Linked DNA regions of Struthio camelus. The protein of the gene in region 2 interacts with the protein of the main gene of each other region in a biochemical or structural test. Links are inferred from orthologs where the notes say so. Each region holds a gene or a part of one and is shown on either strand. Other genes may lie near its edges.

Evidence for each region.
Region 1: the proteins of UBE2D3 (region 2) and RNF146 are reported together in a solved structure, tested with the Homo sapiens proteins (2 studies listed by BioGRID, with this or other methods). The link is inferred for Struthio camelus from reciprocal best matches to the Homo sapiens genes UBE2D3 and RNF146.

The regions. Positions count from the first base shown.
Region 1 is NC_090944.1:69,252,008-69,262,408, forward strand, and holds the start of RNF146 (E3 ubiquitin-protein ligase RNF146), read left to right. Parts: upstream 1-5,829; 5' UTR 5,830-5,997; intron 5,998-6,420; exon of another isoform or gene 6,421-6,622; intron 6,623-10,401. UniProt on the Homo sapiens protein: E3 ubiquitin-protein ligase that specifically binds poly-ADP-ribosylated (PARsylated) proteins and mediates their ubiquitination and subsequent degradation. May regulate many important biological processes, such as cell survival and DNA damage response.
Region 2 is NC_090945.1:26,886,950-26,896,589, forward strand, and holds the start of UBE2D3 (ubiquitin-conjugating enzyme E2 D3), read left to right. Parts: upstream 1-5,527; 5' UTR 5,528-5,946; coding exon 5,947-5,970; intron 5,971-9,640. UniProt on the Homo sapiens protein: Accepts ubiquitin from the E1 complex and catalyzes its covalent attachment to other proteins. In vitro catalyzes 'Lys-11'-, as well as 'Lys-48'-linked polyubiquitination.

The DNA of each region.
Region 1 (10,401 bases), on a different chromosome or scaffold from region 2:
TGAATTTGTTAATTAAACTCTAAGATATAACAGGCAGTGCAGCACTACTGATTAATGCATGCCTCAAATCCTCAGTGAAATCCTGTCAGCTCAGAGTTCATGCCATTAAGAAATGCATTATTCCGTTCTATACTGCCATGTTGTCTGAAAACACTTCAGAAAATGGATGTCAAAGCAGGTGATACTGCATGTTTCCTATCTGCAATACCATCCTGGTGTCTACTGTCCCATCCTGAGTGAACTTAAGGATGAGAGTAATTAAAATAGCAATTATAACATTCAAGGTGGTGTGCTTACTTTTAATTAACATTTCTTTCTAAGACGTGGTACTAACAACTCTCTCTTATTTTCTCTCTTTAGGGAGAAAACGCTGGTGAATCCATAGAAAGAAACTCCTTCTCACATACATTTATTTAGCCTATGTTATCGACTTTTAAAGATTCAAAAAAACATTAAGAAGCACTATTGCATGTGAGTGCTATTTCAATTGCATAGCTGAAAAGTGCATTACAAGCCTGACCTAATCCTGCATTCCTTGTGATATCAACCAGCAAAGACATCACACTGGGAGATCTAAATTTACAAAGAATGAGAGGCTAGACTTCAAGCAATAACATTTAACCCAGTTATCTTCTTAACACCATATTGTTATTCCTTCCTCAAGAGACAAAGAGATGCTGCCACACTACACGGTTACCTGTTGTAGCCAACACGAACACTTCTGTGTGATATATATATGCAACAAGAGAAAAAAGATTTAACTGTGAAATTGTGTCTGGAAATCTTGCTCATGTGACCCTTCTCGCACAAGCAAACCTTAAAGGACATGTTAATCCAGAGATGTTTTAAATTTGAATTGAAAACTTCCAGACTAAAACATTATTATCTTAACTGGAAAGCGAAAATATCTTCACTTCAGTTGTTGAACTGTTTCACTGCATAGCATGAAGTACTCTTGGCTCTTTTTTAAAATAATAACAAAACCATTTGACTTGTAGATCAAGACACTTTGGTGCTTGTTAGCTGGTACATGCTTCGCTAGAACACTTTCATCTCCTAAAGTTGCAATGTTACCAGGTCCTAACAAGAGCTCCAGAGAGGGAGCTTTCCTGAGTTGCATCAGCCTTCTAAAGGATTCAGAAGCAGAATTTTTCTCAGATGCTAAAATTCACATTGATCAATTTTTAGGAGAAAACATTTTTATGAAGTTTGTTTTGGCTGTTCTTTGCTAGTCTGTTCTATAATTTTCTTACTTTATTTTTTATTTTGCTATTTTACCTATTTTTATTCCTTTTGCTTTCTACAGGAGAAATTGTTGTAATTTGTGCTATTCTAGCATTCAGAAAGTCTACTTGTAAAATGAATAACATGCCCTCTAGTGTAAAAGAAGCTGCGTGCACAGCAATTACGATATTTCACGTGGGTATAACAAAAACTATAGGACTATACTTCCAATTTTTCTGTCTCCTTAAAGACTTGTATGTTCTACTGAGAGCTCACGCACAGGTCTGATATATAAAGTTTGGGGACTATGCTAACTTTCCAACAAGTGGTGGATGCTTTAAAGAGTTTCAGTAGAGAATTCCTCTTTTTAAATATCACCCTGAGCTACAGGCCTCACTAGTGTGCAATTTCCCAGGAAACATCAGTGCAGAACCACTCAGCAAGTTTTGCTATTGATTACAATAGGATCAGGGCTTGGAGTACAACAACTACTAGCTTTAATCGTCAGCTAGGAGTCTGATCAGTGCCCTAGCTGGATCAGGAGAGACAGCAGCACCTCTGTGCTCTACCAAAAGTGTTTTGATGAGCTTAGCTTCCCAGCAGTTACCATATACCATCTAGTGATACCAAAGGAAACCATAATTTGTAATTCATTAATCTTTAAATGAAACATATAGTAGGCATTTTGCATTCCTTTTACTAAAATAAAAGGTAGTCATATGTGCTATCTCCTATGACTAATATTTTCCATTTCTCAAGAATCTTGACATGTATTAGTTTTTGAAAGGATTCAGCTTCTGAAGATGTACGATTATATAAGAATATCAGCTTTAATTAAAGTTAAAACAAAGTTTCTGCCTTATAGCTAGAGAATTACATACAAAATTATAATCTTAGAGATGTAAAACTCAGGGACTAAATTTAAAGAAACCCAAAACCTAACCTTACTATTTTTTAAAACTTCAAGATTTTGAACATCCTGCATCATGTTTTTTTTAAATATTAAGTTAATAGTGTCTGTTGATGGGGAGGAAGTCAGAGAGAGAGAGAGAGAGAGAGAGAGAGAGAGAGATGATTCTGACAGCTGGGATAACGGCAGAAGACAATGTTATGCTATGTGGAATTTTGCTGCCACTAAATGAAAGCAAAACCATCAAGATTTTTTCCTGGGAATTTGCAGACAGAAAGGGTACTGATCCAATGAAAGCCACAGACCAAAAGAACTGAGGAACACAATTCACCCTCACCTCTTCTCTTTTCCCAGTTCTCCTCCTCAGCACTATTCAACTTTCTATTTGTAAAGCCAAATGGGATTTTCAGCACAGACCTAAACAGCACAGACCTCCGAAAACTGTTACACAGAAGTGTATTTGGCACTGGTTGCTACATATCTAGGTTATGTAAGCAAAATACAGACATTACATGAAGTACACTAGTTGGATTTTCATAGGCCGATTGTCGCCTTAACACTTTGTTTTCAACCTACAAATAGTGACTAGAAATCAGTTTAGCTACAACTCAGCAAGACTGTAAGTGTAGATGGATGAGGCAGACATGAATTTGCATAGTTTCAGTCAAAGTGAAAAACTACTTGTAAACCCAAGACTATACTTTGGACTCGTGTTGATCAACCTACAAGTCTGCCAGGCCCTTTTGCACATCACCAGAACTGCAATTGCAATTCAAAGCAAATGTAATTTTGTCTCACTGATAGCATCTTGGGCACTGCTTTTACACCATTTGCCAGTGAATGCTCTAGAGGGCCAGGACTGTCAGGTGCCAGGGCGAGCAAATGACAGCGATAGTCTAATATTGGCTTCACACAAGAGAATTCTCTGCCTAGCTGAACTGGCTGTGGGCCACTTTGTACTGTAAGCATGCTTAAAACTTGTAGGACAAGGGACAAGCTTGTGTCACTGGCTGTAAAAACTAAATATATAATTAAAAAATATTCTAGAAATTGTCCATGTATTAGTCAATCTTCAATGCCACGAAAAATAAAAAAAAAAAAATCACCTTAATGAAAATGCTAATGTAACATGGGGATTCCGTGTTAGGCAATAGCTTAGAGGAAAGGAAAGCACCGAGTGATAAGCAATAGCAGTTCATAAAGCAAATACGTTATTTAAACAAGACCAGGATTCGCTTTTAATGTAATGACAGATTCGGAGCTCAGTCTTCTACCCCTCCGCTGGCTGCTAGCGCAAAACAGCCAAAAGTACGTTTGGACCTCAGTGGCACATTGCCAACTTTACATCTTTCTCTGTTCAGCACAGAGGGTGCGTTGAAGGTGCAGAAATGCGGAATGGGGGGAATGACACCACACATCATACGCTCCTTCACTGCTAGTGCAACTTGGAGCAGTTCTGAGGTTCTCCTCACTAACTCCCAAATCACAGCAGAAGGAAACTGTTTTCTCCTGTCTCTCCTAAACTGTGGAAGTGCAGTGAGGATTGAGACCTTAGTGACTATAACACATTGTCATATCAGCAATTCTATACAGTATCACATACTTTTGAAGAAGCTGGAAAAATACTGGATAAATAGAGACACTGAAACACTGAAATATGGATCAACAGTTGTCCATTGTCAAAGTATCTTCAAAAAATTAGTGGTGGAACCTTAGAAATTTAACAGGGGAAGTGGTGTCTTTTAAGGATTAGTCTGCTCAGCCTTTACTTTTCCATCCACTGTACTCATAAATAATTTAGTGGCAAGCACCAGACATCAATTCCAGATTGATTACATTGTAGATAACGGCAAAAAAAAAAAAAAAAAAAAAAGAGAGAGTGCAGAACTGCAAAGCAAGCAGAAGCAGACAGATATAGCTGAGGTGGTTTCAGTTATAACAGACAGGTATAAACTAATACATGGTTGGAAAAACATCTTTGGAATACATGGGATGTTTTCATGCCAAAAGCAGTAGTACAGAAAAAGACGGGCAAAAAATACATATTCTGACTGAAATAGAAGTCAATAATAGCAATTGATAATAGCGCAGGTAAAATTTTAGGAGGGATAATCTTAACAGATCTTAAGCAGATCATTTTTGATCCCCTTATTCCAATCTATTCAACTAGGTACTTTTGTTTATCTCTTTAGGCCAGCAGCATGTAATGCACTTAACTCTTTGGTTACTGCCTTTGGCACAACGTGATATTTACTTTAACTACTATGCTTGCTCCATAATTCATGCAGCATAAAGTAAAATTTTGCATTCATTAGTGCACTTTCTCAAATTGACCTGCAGCTGCAGTAAGCTGTCATGAACCTATCAAAACGCACCTATGGATTTTCTTTTTTAAAAGTACAGTTTTCCGAGATGCTTCTTCTCTTATGAACCTGAATGCAATGAGAGTAGCTTTGCTTCAACTCTTTAGATCCCTTAAGAATCCAGACTTACTTTCCTTTTTTAGGTCAGATTCCAATTGAAACCAATGGGAATTTGACCTCAGTAACTTCAACAGGATCAAGGTCTGGCTAGTCAAAGGATTAAGCCTATTGTTGCTGAACAAACTCACTGCCAAAAGGTTTTATTTTCTTTTTTTTTAAACCTCTATTATTTGACTCAGCCTCACAAGGTCCTCCTTAAATAGCAGTACAGGTTGCCACATAAACGTGTCCTTGAATACAATTATGTCACTTCTGTTAAATGCAGTGCTAATTATAGACTCCTAAGAGTTTGGTGGTTTAAAAAATACACTTTTTTTTAGTATTCCAGATTAAATTTAGAATTTAATACTCTTAGATTTTTGATCTTTGTTATGTTCTCTGGTGTCTGTGACTTCTGGGAGTTGAAGTATCATCCAAAACCGCAGCCAAACACCACTTCCAGGTGTTCTACCAAGCTCTGACTACCTAAGTTCCCGCATTTTGTCAGTTCTGCCTCCGCGCGCAGCGACTGCTTTGACACACAGCCCCTGATCCCCTCAAAACGAATACCGTTCCAACTTAAAGGACGTGTGGATTATCTCCTCTCACCAAGGTTCAGTTGCTTGCTGCGGGCAACAATTCCTGAGGGATTATTTTTGCAGGCCAGCCCCTCGCACTTAGGCCCGGGCCAGGCCACAGAGGAGCACCCACCCGCGTCTAGCAGGTCCCGTGCTACCTGCCGCAGACCCTCGCCGCAGAGCAGCCGGCCCACGGCCCAGGGCGCTGCCTGCGGCGCAAATCCTGGGCCACTCGAGGCTGTGACTCGGCCACGCTGCCCGACCCCTGGTATTTCTGGGCAAACGAGCCGCACGGGCCGAGCTCACGGCCCGGGGAAGGCCAGCCGGCCCCTGCCCCGTCGGCTCCTTGGCCTCCCCGGCGAGCACAGCGCCCGCTCAGAGGGGCCTTCGGGTCCCACAACCCTGCACCAGCCCCTCCGCTCCCGCGTCTCCCCCGCTGCCGCGCCCCAGCCGCGACCCTCGGGCCTGCCGAGCGCACCGGGCCCGCACCTGCCCCGCCGGGCCCACCGGGCGCGGCCCCTGCCCAGGCCGGGGGCGGCGCGGCCGCCGCTGCCATGGCACCGCCGCGGGGGCGGGGCGGCGCCACGGCGTGGCGTCACGGGAGCGCGCCGCGCGTCCCCCCCCCCCCGCCTCACCGGGGCGCGCGGCGCGGCCCCTCCCCCCGCGGCGTCACAGTGGCGCGTTCGGCGCTTCCCTCTCTCCCCCCCCCCCCCGCGCGTGACGTCGGCGCGTCCCGCTCGCCCGGCGGCGGGGGCCGGAGGAGGCGGCAGGTGACGGCGGCGGCGCCTGGGAGCGGGCTGAGCGGCGCGAGCCGGCCCGGCGGGTGAGTCCGTGGCGGCGCCGCCGCGTTCCGACGCCAACGGCCGCGAGCGCGGAGGGAGGGGGAGCAACGGTCGCTCCGCCAGCCCCCCTCGCCCCGCGGCCGACCGCCCGGGGCGGGGGGCGGCGCTGCTCCCTCCTCCGCCGGCGGCTCTCCCCGCTCCGGCGAGGGAAAGGGCGGGCGGGGGGCGGACGTCGCGGCCTGCCCGCTTCCGTCGGCGGGCGGGCGCCGCCGCTGGACAAAAGGCCCGAGAGCGCGGCGGCGGCGCGGGGCCGGGGAGGGGGGGACCCGGCGGCGCTGAGGAGCCGGCCCCGCCCGCGGGGGAGGGGCGGCGGGCACGCCCGGGCCCGGGCCTGTGTTATTGTTTGGGCGAGAGCAGGAGCAGCGTCCGCCGCCTGCCCCCGCCCGCCGCCGGCGCGTCACGTGAGGGGTGTTTTGGGCCGCGGTGGCGCAGGGTGTCCAGAGCGGCCTCGTCCGCCCTGCCCGAGCCGGGCCTTGCGGCGGCGGCGGCGGCCGGCCGGGACACCGCGCGGATCCGCCTCCGCGCGGCAGACGGCGGCGCGCTGCGAGGAGCCGGGAGGTGGCCCCGCTGGGCGCCGCCGGGCTCGCCCCACCTGCTGCCCGTGCTGTAAGTCCCCGCCGTGTCCCCTAAGCCGCCGCTTCGCCGGGCTCTGGCGGCGAGCGGGGGGCCTCGTCCGGCGGACGCTTTTTGGCCTTAACTTTGCCCTCAGGGAGATGACAGTCTTAAATCTGTGTAAAATGAAGTGCTTGATGTGTGCAGCATCAGGGCCTCAATTCCCGGGTTTCATTTTGTTCAGTAACAAAATAGGTCAGGAACGCGCGCTCTAACTTTACGTGTTGCAGAATCCCTCGACCAGAAGAGCCATGTGTGGTGTTTTAAATAAATCTGTGGCATGTGTTCTCACTCTTCTTGCAAAATGTCTTTGCTCTAGCCGGGTTACTTTCATTACCGTAATGAGCTTTGTGAAACTAGAATAGAAATCATATGAATATTCTTAGGAGTACAGTAGGAAGCACATAAAAAGAGGTATGCAGTGGTTTTTAATGGAAGTGCTTTTGTTTCTTTGTGCTTGATGGTCTGGGCTCTCGTATTTGATTGCATCCTTTTAGAGTGTTTAAATGGGACATGAAAATAGGTCCAGCTCTTGCTGCAATACATATTGCCACCACTGAAGAATTATTACAAAATATTTTGTAAATAAGAGTTTTCATACAAACAGAGTAGCAGTGCGCATCAGAATGGTCGAAAACGTGGAATTTCACAATTAAAATAAAACCCGATAAAAGTTTGTGCGTGTGTGTCTCAGGATAACCCTTGTGTTATATGGACTAGAAATACTGTAGGATTTGTTATTGGTATTTGTAGTATGCAAGTATACATAGAAGAATTACAAGCAGGAGTAGGGAGTAGAGCTTTAAACTGTCTTGATCGTCAGATTTGTAATACTAAAAATACAGTCCTTCTGCATTGTTAGCTGCTCCCTGTGTTCTCAGTGGACTAACTAATTGTGTTTTTAGAGACACTTTCAGGACTAGTTTTATCAAAAACGAACTGTTGTAATAGTATTGAGTATGTAGTGAAGTCTGAATTTTGATTCAGTTGTTTCGAGTAATCTTAAATACTGAACTTTTGCAGAAACTTGCTTTATTGTCTTGTATGGTTAATATTGTGGTTCCTTTCCAGCTGAATTAAAGCACCAGTTTAAATTGCTGTAATGCAGAATTTGTGCTAAGTGAAAGAAAAAGTTGTGTTCTTTTTGTTTCCCTAAAAATATTCTGCATCAATTTAGATGTAATTGAATTGTCATTTACTTAGAGAGATGGAACTGCAGTATTTTTAAAGACTATTAAACAATGAACTCCTGTAATTGGTGGGGAAAACGTCTTTTTATTAGAATTGATTTCTGCCCCCCCCCCGCATGTTAATTGAGTCTAAAGCTGTTCTTGTACTTGCCTTCTGTTCCTGAAGCATCGATCAATTGAGACAAACCTATTTCTGCTTGGTTTTCATACAGGAATTTTGATACAATATCATTTTATTTCTGAGTGGAATCTATTAGATATATTGAAATATAATATATGATCAAAATTCAGAATCAGTGTTCCCGTTGCAGCATAGCAGGAGGAATTCATTTGGAATAAATACATGGCAATTTCATACCAAAACAGTTGACTGTTCTGCACTTTGATTTTTTTTTTTTTGTGATTCAGTTCCAAATGCGTATATAAGGTTTTTAATTAGCAGATCACAGGCTCCTTAAAATCTCATCTCATCAGTAATTCCTGAAGATTTTCTTTGACTAAGTTTCCGCAGATACAAAAAAGTGACTGGCCATGAATAGGAAACAGTGAGGTGGTTTATCTGTTGTGCTATCAAATGCCCAGTGACAGATAAAAAAAAAAAAAAATCTGATAGGCTCAGGAGCTTGAGCTGATAGTATATCGACAGTAACAGATTTTCAGATAGGAGGATGATTTCCCTTTTAGAAAACAACCATGTTTTTTCTTTCCTTCCACAGTATTTGTGTGGCTTGTGGTGACTTGTAAGGAGGAGGGCAGTATTCTGTGATATTCTTCCCCTGCTGTGCCCCCTGCCCCCTTGACATGTGAGTTAGGGAGCTTGCTGAAAATTTGAAGTGGTTATTTGCAGCAGCTTCTTTACTTTTCTGAAATAATGGTGCCGCTATTGAGTTTTCAAACTATGGGGAAAAGCGATGAATTTGTGATAACTACTGCAGAATCATCTGTACGATGTTGCTGATTTTATGAAGTCGTCTATCATTTGCTATAGGATTTAAATAACTGTCTTTGGCAAGCAAGAAGCTAGTTTTGTTTCACTTTACCAATATGTGCATTTTGGGTTTTTTAGAGGAGAAGGGGCTAGCTTATTTAAATAGAGCTAAGCTTTTATTTACAGAGAAAGTTTCTTGCTCTTTTTTAGGTCTGTAGATAACATTACATTTTCATTTAGAAGTTTGCTTCTTAAATATGAAAGTTTCCGGTTTTTATTGTTGTTTTTTCCTGTCACTCTAGTTTCCAAAGTAATAGAAAAGAGAAAAAAATGTCTTGGGTCTGCTTGTTTACTGAAAATCTGATGGGTGACTGAACTGGCAAGCAGTGGTTTCATGCCATCTTGGCCTAGTAAAAGCATGACTTTTTCCTATCACCTCAAAATGATTTGAGGTCTGTCTTAAGGAAGTTCACCACTTCCAAAATCTTAAATTTGTGAGGAAGGAAGAAGCTGACGTGACTTCTCCTGGTCAGCATCCTGAGCGACTTTCAGGGGTGCATAGAGACTAGCTAAAACACTTAAGCGTGAGTTTGGGAGCAGTTGTTGCCCAGTCAGTAGCACCAAGTTTAATTTCTTGGATGTTGCTCCTGACCAGTGGGGTTCTCCCTAGTCTGTTGTGTGTTGAATGAAGGCTTTCAACAGCAGGACATGAGAGAACTTACGGATTTAGTGATTGTGCATGAGGAAGGGGTTCTTGCAGACCGCTTCAGATAGCGTAACTTCTCATACTACGTGCTTTTCTAAAGCAGACAGAAAACTAATTACTGGGTATAGAACACAGCTCTTACCCACTGAACTTTAAAGGAGTCAGAGTTCAGGATGGGGTGTGTGTATAACGGCAAGTGTCTTTTATCCTCTTTAGTAAACTTCTCAAGACTGGCTCATTAAATAAATAACAATTTAATGAAATGTGGAGGTTACCTGAAGTCAGTTTGTGAACTAGTTCTTTTTAAGAGTTATACAGCAATTAGAAAGTTGCCTTACTGTAGTCATATAATTATACCCTAATTGGATTCCTCTGGGTATAATTACATGCCTTGAATATGTGCGCACATTTTTATTTCCTAAGAAATATGCCAAAGTTGACCCAGCTTCTTTCTCACGTTAACATTTGCTTGTGTGATGTGCTACCCCTAACAGTGGATTGTACGAGGTAGTCGATAAAAGGCTTCTAGTAATACCTACAGAAGTAAAAGAAGGCCAGCATCTAAGATGAAGGACTAAACACCACACCCACACCATCAAGCTTGTTGCAGCTGTCTCTTTGATCGTAGCAAATGCCCTAACCAGTCTGAGTGGATTAGTAGAGCCAAAATCTTAATGTGATTGCAGCTCTTAATTTTAGATTGATGTGTGAAGAAAGGGGAGGTCACTTGAATGATGAGAGGAGAATCTTAACCCTTTTAAAAAGGTGTTGGGGCAAATGGGTAGGCATGTTAATGTTGCATTTTTTTCCTTAGGAACTCCTTCCAAAAATAGCGACACTGAATGCTACGTGGAAGTGAGCTATATAAAAATATTTTGAGTAATGTATCTCTCACTGAAGTCATCTGAAAAATTTTCGTCTGCTGCTATCGGTGATAAATGTTCAATCA
Region 2 (9,640 bases):
TAGCATTCAGTCTGAAAGCAGCCGGAGGGGTCAAAAAACAGGTATATCATGGAAAAACGACCAACTCGAAAGGTGTGGGGTAGAGTAGGTCGTCACTGAACCTTTTGACCAAATCTTCAGGTGCTGTAAACTGGTGTACTGAAATTGATAAAATTGTGCTGCAGACAGGGAGTTCGTCTGCTGAATTCAGCATATATTGACTTATTTTATCAACTATGCCTAATTTCTCAGTCCTTCACGCCCCTATTTTAAGTTGCTGTTTTGCCAAATATATAATCTATGTTTATTCACAGATGTAAAGAATTTGAGTTAGTAGTTGTGTGACAACAAACCTTTTCTTTTTTCAAAACAGGTATCGTAATTACACTCTGCTCATCTATGAGGTTTCATGCTTCAGTATCCATAGAGCTGAATCAGTACAGAAGACAACCATTCTTGGTGGCACAAACTGATGCTGACATGAAAGGAGTATCTCTTTCATTTAGATCAAATGGTAGTTTTGCTGGAAAAAAATGAATACTGTGTATGAATACTAATAAATGTCCTGTAGCATTTTTCAAAGATTCAGTTGTTAAGGTCTGTGAAAGCAGCATAATGAAGTCACCAATTTTCTTCTTCTAAAATAGCTTTTATTTTCCCTAAGGATTTCAAGGGAAGAGAAGAATCTTCTCCAACTGAAAGAAAACTGTTGTCAACACAAGCCTAAAAAAGTGTCTTAATGGTTTGAAACCATTTTAATGAACTGCTAAACAAAATCCTGAAGGCCAGAAGATTTTGTGGAGAATTTTGGTCTGTTCCTTTTGATCTAGGCTACTGAAGTATTTTGAATTCTTGCAGATGTCCATACGACCTTGTGTAAACTATGAAACCTTAGCAGGCCATTATTCAACAAAGTGCTCAAGATTTTCATTGGGACTTGTATGTGGGCTAAATATTAGATCTTACAACTCCCTGTAATTAGCAGCAATGACTTAAAATGGATTAAGGGACTCAGTATTTCGCCCCATGACCTAACAGTGAGATAGAAAGCACTACTTTAGAAAGATGGCATGTGGAATAGCTGGGAAATTGCTCTGGTGAGCAGAAGAAAAAAAGGGGGAGACGAAGGATTGCCAAACTGGAATAGAAGATAAAAAGCTAACTTTTTAATCTTATATTCCTTAAAAAGCTAACTGCTGCATACACTGGCCTTGGGCCAGACTCCGGATGAGGAAGGGTTCTCCTACCTCTTCTTCCTACTAAAAAGAGAAGTAATGGTTCCAGAGGTAAAGGCCAGGGAACTGAGCATGCAGTGCTAAGGGTGGTAGGATGCTGCTATGTCCTTGAAGGGGAGAAGCACCCACCTACACAGAAAGTGCTGCCAATCTTTTGAAATTAAAACATGGATCAGATGAAACCCAATGACATCATAAAACCTGTTTTTTTGTAGTGTCATGTAATGACACATAGATTGGCAAATGCAGCATTGTGTTGCGTTTAAAACAAAATCAATGGAACCACTTTGTTTTATCAGCTTTTCTCTGTGAGCTCACTCTTTACGGTTTCCATTGAATCAAATGGGTCCATAATAAGCTGAGTTTTTCTCAGATGAAAGATGGATTTGACTGCAAGTTTGATATACAATGATTGAAGAAAAACAAGTTGGGCCAGATGCTGAAGGGAAAATTGAGGCCTAGTCAGCTGCAATGTTCTATAATGTGTGTACCAAACAGAAGCTGTTGTTGTTTCTTCAGGCTCTTAGCTCTTTGTTTTCCAGTGGCAGAAGCTGTTGTCTTTTGTGTCCTCCAAACAGGAGCTAATAATCATCTACTGGATGGACTCATGAGAAGGGTGTCTTGGTTTTGTTGAAGTAATTTTTTTTCCCTAAAAAGCAAGAGCTTTTTGGAGATGCTTTGCAGCTTGTTTCTCCCTTTCCTCTCTGACATACTGACTTGTTATATAGAGGATGCTGCCTGGGGTCCAAGGTGCTAGGTTGCTCTACCTGTTTTGAAGACAGGTAGAATAGCGTGCACAAAGTGTAAATAAAGGCAGGTCTCAGGCAAGGGAAAGTGAAAATTTTATATTGACATGCAGCAAGCTAGACTAAGCTTTAAACTAAGGCTGGGCTGCTTCTCCCTCGAGTCTCCTCTGTCCTGAGAGGAAGGTGCTATAACAGCATATCAAGGCAATCTCCGTTCTTGCTTGCACTGCTGGACAGTCATAAAGAGCTGAAAGAGACTGGTAAATTCAGCCTTTAGAGGTTATTGACCACACAGAGCTCTGTAATGCCATGCTTAAAAAAGCAAGCATACAGAGCTCAAAAATAGAATTCAAGTCAGCTAGTCTGTTCTCAATACTTTTTGCAAACTGTTTATTCCTATGTACGTACTGAACAATTTTGCGTAATAAAGAAGATCTAACCCAACTCCACTAGTGTATGAGGATTAGACATGAATAATAGCTCTATTCAACCACTTCTGAGGATTAGCTTCAAAAATCAAATTAAAATGAAGCAAACCCAAATACACTGAGTAGTTCAATGGGAAGTTGCAGCACCCATGTTCAGCAACCCATCATCTTTGTCTCTCACATTTTATATTATCGGATGAAGTATCAATGTAAGTAGCACTATATTACACTTACTGTGTATGTTAAAGGTAAGAAACTATGTATGGCAGGTAAATATATTAAGGATACAAAACCTTACTTTATATGAGCATTCCTGCTGAAGTCAACAATTATTTATTTCCAAAAGTTGAAGGAAAAAATATGATTTTTATGTTAACAATTTGAGGAAAATGAGATGAGGGAGAGAAGTATAATGATCCGCAACAGGACTACGTTTGCTGTATCTTGTAGAAATGGCCACAGAACTGCATGCTTCTTGTTTTTCATAGCTACGTAGGTCACTATTTTTAATTTTTTGTCTCAAGTGAACTTAAAAGTAAGTATTTAAATAGAGGTATTTGTTTAATAAAAATAACCAATGAGCACAATGAACTATCAAGTGTTCGTCCAAAGAGGTATGCTAAATCTGGTATACAAAATATGCAAATCTATTTCCCAGCAATGGCTACATACTCAATACCTTTTAAATTCTCCTCGGGGTCAAATGCTAATAGAGATATTCATTTTAACATGTAACTGTTGACACGCACACAGACAAACTTGATTTACCAGATGAACAATTTCTGTTGGCTTAAATGAGCATGGAAAATTACACATTGTCAACAGTATGTTTGTGCAGTTCTTCATTCCTTTCATTATACAATAAAATGCTAATCAGAAGCCAGATCAAAACTCTTAATAGAGAGTAGTATTAGAGGTTATTAGTCTAAAATAATAATTACAAATGTAGAACTAAAATACTATTAAGTACTTAAATCTACTGAGATGACAAGCTAATGAAAAAACTCGTGAAGTTTGTAAGCAGTTTCAAAGACTGAGAAAGATATACTTGTGACAGAAACATATGCTTGTGATATGGAGGAGCTTAACAGTATCCCTAATCCAAATTAAGGAAGGAGCAATAAGGTGTTTTTCAGCACAATTCTCTATGAAGATGGTAAGAACATTAATGAAACAGTTCAGAGCTACTTTTCTTGAATACAGTGTTCAGTACTTTTAAAGTAGTAAGCAGAAGATGAAGACTACCCAAAGAAATTGTTAGGAGTGGATCAGGTAATCACAGAAAGATAGCTGCACTTTATAGGAATAAGACATTATTTTCTCTCTAGCCTACACATAATATGGATACTAAAGAACTGTGACAGTCCTACTACAGTACGATTCTGAAAATAAAACGGATTATTGCTCTCCCGATTCCCTGCTGGTTATTCTCAAATTTCATACTGCAAACTTTTTTACACCCTTTTTTTGAAGATGCGCCAATCCACTGATAATTAGCATCCTAGATAGCAAGAAAACTAACAGTAGAGCAATGAAGGCAATATAATGAACACAAACTGAATTCAGTGCAATCAATTTAGCTAATTATGTATTTATACTCCCTGGACAGCAACCATCATGTTTAATAATTCTATATATCCCTGCATTACAGCAGAAAGTCAGTCTAGCAATCTTATTTCTGCTTGTTACTTCACAAGTAGGAGTCTTTCATCACAGATTTCACTACATACATCTGCAAAGTTTTCTTGTTTAGTACAATAAAGAAAGGGCCGTGCCGAGTGTGGGTTCTTGACCCCTGCTACACAGAACAGAAAGCCTCCTCGGAGCTGGAAGCCCAGCAGAAGGTATCGCTGCTTTACGGTGACCAAGTAGGCCAACATCAAAGCAGCAACTACATGAGCAGCTCAGGCATCTCTGCTGGGCTGAATATGCCACTGATCTCGTCATGATAGCTAAAGTATTTGATGCCCCCAGTCCTTGTGCTGACAGCGTGTGTAACCGAATCTTTTAGTATTGTTTTTTCAATATACTGAGAACGTATGTGCACGCTGCTAAAAGCAACGCTTCAAACACCCTTACAGCCTCTCGCACCAGGCCTGCGTTCCTTGTTGACGCGTTTCTCTCCTGGGCCATCACAGGCTTTTGGCTCTTTTGTTAGCCTTTTCCCTTTGCTTTAGGCCCCGCTTTTCCTCCAAGGCACCCTCCTTGTGCCACTTCAAGGAGCTACCTACAGCCCCTCGAGGCAGGTGGGCGGTGGGCTGCCCACCGCACCTTCAAGCTGGTGCGGCAACTGGCACCAGAGCCCAGAACACCAGGACAGCTCGGGACAAGCGAGCTTTATTTTGCCACGTGGCCGACCTGCAGCCGAGCACAGGCCCGGGCACACGCGAGGGGACAGAGGGCGGCAGGGCAGGTGGGTGGGCGAGCGGCCCCCGACGCAGAGCCGCGGGCGGAACGAAGCCTCCCACTGGGCGGGGGGGCCAACGGCCGCCAACGGCCGCCGCGCGCCCCGCAACGTGCGCAACCGCCGCCCGCAGGGTGAGCAGCGGCAGCTCCCGGGGCCGCTCCCTGGGAGAAGCCCCGGCGGGGGATGCCTCGGCGCCCGCAGCCTCCCCGCCGCCCCCGCGGCCCTGCTCGCGGCAGCGGGCGGCGAGCGACGTCGAGGCGAGCGGCAGCGCGGAGGAATCCGAGCCGCCCCCGCCGCCGCCCAACGATGTAGGTCCGGCCGCGGCCGCCATCTTGTGCACGCGCGCAGCCACGGGGCGGGGACTTGTCGTAAGCGGTGCGCGCCGCAGCGCCCAGCAGCCGCCGAGGCGCCTGGGCCCGCGGCCGAGGTGCCTTAACGAAACCCCAGGGCCACCCTCCGCGGTGGGGGGACGCCATAAAGCGGCACCGGGAAGGCGCTGCCGTGGGGAGTTCCAGATCCTTCCCCCCTCCCCCCGGGTCCGGCGGCGGGGCGCATGCGTGCCTCTCGCGAGATCCCGCGGGGAGGGGGGGACACCGCGGGGAGGGGGACAAAGCGCTCAGAGCGCATGCGCGGGGGGGCTGCCCGGTCGCGGAGGCCGTTAGCGCGCCCCCTACCCCCGTTCCGCTCCCTGGCCCTGGGTGGGGGGGCAGCGCCCCGCCCCGCCCCGCCCCGCCCCGCCCCGCCCGGCTGCGAGCGCCGCCCCCGGCCTCCGCCTCTCGGGGCGGGTGCGCGCGGGGCTGGGCTCTGGCGCTCTCGGTGGCGCTGGCGTTTGCCTCGGCTCGGCTCCCTCCCTCTCTCCCTCCCCCCCGGCGGCGCGGGCGCGGGCGCGGCGCGGCGCGCTCCCGTCAGCCTCTACCGGCCACCGGCCGCCGTCTGCCCGCAGTCAGGCTCCGCGCGGCCGCCGCGCTCCGGTCGGGCGCCCCCCTCGGCTGTTTCCGGAGGAAGGAGAAGCGCAGCTGCCCCCACCCCCCTTCTCCGCCTTCCTCCCCCTCCTCCTCCTCTCTCGCTCCCTCCCTCCCGGCCCCCCCTCGGCGCGAGCGGAGCGCGGAGTCACCGCGGCGCACAGACGGGCCCGGCGGCACTCGCACACAATGGCGCTGAAACGCATCAACAAGGTGAGCGCCGCGCCGCGTTTCTCCCCTCTTCCCTCCCCGCCGCTTTGGTTTTTCTTCCTCCCCCCCTCCCCGGCGGAGCGGGGCACGGATGCGCGGCCCGCAGGGGCGGGAGGGCCGCGGGGCCGCCGTTGCGGGCCGGGCAGCGGCCGTCTCCTTCCGGCGAGGCCGCGGTGCTGGCGCGGAGGGGAGGCCGCTCTCCGCGGCCCTTCCTCCCGGCCCTGGCGCTCCCCTCGGAGGTGGCCGGCGGCCTTGCGCGGGGGGTCGGTTGGGGCCGGGGCCCGGGCGGCGCCGCCGCTTCCTCGGCGGCGAGAGGCTGCTCCGGGACGCTCAAATGTCAGCGCCGCCCGGAGCCAGCCCGGCGCGGCCGCGGTGCCGGCGCCGCTGCCCCTCCGCCGTCGTTCGCCCGGATCGGGGCCGTATTTGTGTCGCGGAGGGGCTCTGTGGCCGATTGCGGCCCTCCCCGGGGCAGGGAGTGGGCCTCTCGGGCTGGTGTTTCTCCCCCGGCGTGTAACTTCTTTCCCGCATTGTAAGATGGCGGCGGGTTTGCCTAGTTCAGGCTCTTTCCGGGATCTCTCGCTTTCTGCAATAACATGACACACACACGTCTGCACTCCCGTCAACTCCCGTGCAGCTGCCGCCGAGCGATATTGTTCCAGCCCCGCTTCCCCCTCGCAGCCCGCTCTCCCCTCGCGCCCCCGAGGAGCCGCTTTTTCGCCTCGGCCCTGCCTTGGCGAGGGGCGGAAGTGTTTTGTGTGATGTGCTGCGAGGGTTTGTTGTTGCACAATCGGGCCGGGTGGAGTAACTTCACAGCTAACTCGGAAAAAATGTCGAGGTGATGAAAGTTTAAACCTCTTGCAGGGGAGAAGGTTACAGACATGAGGTTGTGCATGGGCAACCTGACGGTTCTCCTTGGTGCCAGTTGTGGACTGTGCAGGTTTAGTGAGAGCGCTTCCAGTTTGTAAATCACTGGGCTGTAATTACAAACGTGATGAAAGCACGGCGGCTTCACCGTGACATCGCTGTTGATCTGTACCTACGCATAAGCTATCTTGAACGTTTAAATATTTCAAGAACTGAGAGGAGCTTCTTGGTCATCTCATAGTCTGCCAAGATGGCAGAAAGCCATAGTGTCTTGAAATCGGTGAACTAAACTTCGGTGCATCAAACGCCTTTTATATGCGGTGCGTACAGCTCATCGCCTTTTACTCTGATTTCGTGTCTTTGGGGTAGTGTTTATAGGCATCTTTTAGTCGAACTGAGTCAAAGTGAGGTAGTGTATTAATGTTAAAGGATAATTACATTATCCCTAAAAATATAAACTCTCCTCTGGACTATTATTAGCTAAAAGAATTGTCTTCGTATTACAGCTGCACTCTCACAAGAATTCCAAAACAATTCCTTTTGAATCTGACATCAGAACTTGTTCCCTCTATTAGTGGATGATATCACTTGAGTTGAAACACAGCTAGGATACTCCCTGGTATGCTTTGTCAAGTTATGCTTATGAAATGCCTTCAGGCTTCTGCAGGTAAGAATTTATTGTCAAATGTAAGCCAAAGCAAACCCTCACGTAGTAATCTGATGGTTGAAACCGTAAAATGATTCGGGATAACTTTTGAATCAATACGTCATCTCTTTGCCTTCAGCATTTTGGCCTGTCTGTTGTGTGCAGTCTCTTGTTCTGTGTTGGTCCTTATGATCCACAGCAGTGTGTACTAGCACGCTTCTTCCTTTACCCAGTGCCAGCATTTAGGATTAGTGGGATGGATTTTTTTTTCGTTTTTGAAGTTGCTATTTTTAATTGATTTAATCACACCATGCTACAAGACATGCTTCTAAATTCACATGCGGTTTACAGTGTTGATTTTGTATTTGTTAGCCTGCAAAGTCAAAATGATGATATGTTGATAGATTGAAACCATTACTTGCAAGCTGCTTTATTCCAAAGTATGCTTTCTGATACAAATATTCACCGGGATTGAGGCTAGAATCCAAAAATAGGAGGACCAATTTTGTAATGAGGTTGTTGTGAATTTAGAGTCTAATCTTGCCAACCGGTAAGGCCAAGAGAATTGCACTCTGTCACTGGTGAGCTGGGATCCCCTGTCTTCCAGTAGTAAGGTCACAGATCAGACCTTGAAACTCTGTGCTTCCTTGTAGTACGTTGTTGGCGCTAAACCAGAACAGGCTAAAGAGAGACCAGGACCTCACAACATTGTAATCACAAATAGCTGATTTAGTCTGACTTTCAGTATTATCCGTCAGGGCTAGAATTCATTGTCTCGTGCAAAAGATGACACCCCAAATGTACTGGTGGAGGTATATTCAGTCTTTTTGACTCTTTATGGACTGGCATTTCAAGCAAAATAAAATTCTTTGAAAGTCTAATTTATCAGATATAATAAATTGTATTAGAATGTGTAAATTTAATCTGAAGTATGTTATACATTCAGAATATAAGTATCCCCTACTTAAAGTATAACTGACAAACTTGAGTTTTGACTTGGGAATTAAAGTACATGAGTATTCATGTATTATATATGAGACTATCTACTGCTGGAATACGCTATAACACTCTCTTCAAACTGAAATAGTTGTCAGGTATATAGCCAGTCCCAGAAAGATTATATTATGCTGGATCACAGCTTTACATCCGTGCCGCTGCCCTGAGGGTAACTGGCAAATAATGGCAAAGCTCTGCTTTTATTGATATGGTTTGCTTTGCGAGAGGGTAGCGGTTGTTTTATTATACCAATAAAGTGCTTTTGCCATGGAATAGTCTGAAAACAACATCTTAATTTTAACTATATCCTTTACTGAACACGAAGTTTTACAGAAACAGGATAAAGGCAATGGAACAAATTAATTTATCAGCTTCGTATAAATACATGATACCTGCTTGTTGCACCTTGTCTTAGTCTCAAGTGTTGAGTGGTACCTGCTAAACGCACGTTCCATCATTGCTGCAGTGTGTTGGCACTTCCGGTTTGAATTGCCATTCAAATTCCGGTTCCATCTCTGCAGTAGAAAAAACAAGAACTCTTCTGTAGAAGAAGTAGGAAATCTGGAATGCATAAAACTGATAAAACTTGGGGAGGTTTCATCATTGATACACACATCCATTTCATCATCATTGTTGTACGCATCGATTGGAGTGAAGCAGTATAAAAGGCCTAAATTATGATCTTGATAGGATAAAAATAGATTGTGAACTAACAAATACAGGAGATGTATGTATGAAATGTCTCATCTGCAAAATGCCTGTTTTAAGAAGACTTGTGCCTGCTGTGTTTTGTGTCTACTTGGTCAAACATAGTACAGGTCAGCATCGTTAAGCAGAGGCGTTCTATTAGAAAAGCTGAGGTGGAGTTGGCATACTGGAAGCTAAAGGCTGAAGGTGGCAAAAACATTGTTTATCTTACATTTTTATATTTTTTCAAAATCTTTTTTATCTTCTATTTTTATCTATGTACAGACAGAGGCTTCCATTGACAGTCATAGAGTGCAGTCTAAATAACAGTTTTCCTCAAGTTTACAACCTCTAGCACTATTCCTAGATTATACGATTAAATGCAACTTTACCTACTCCCCCAAATAATGAGAAATGCTACTAACCCTGGAGGCATTCACAATATCTTTCAGAGATTGGATGTAGTATATGGTGATGAAG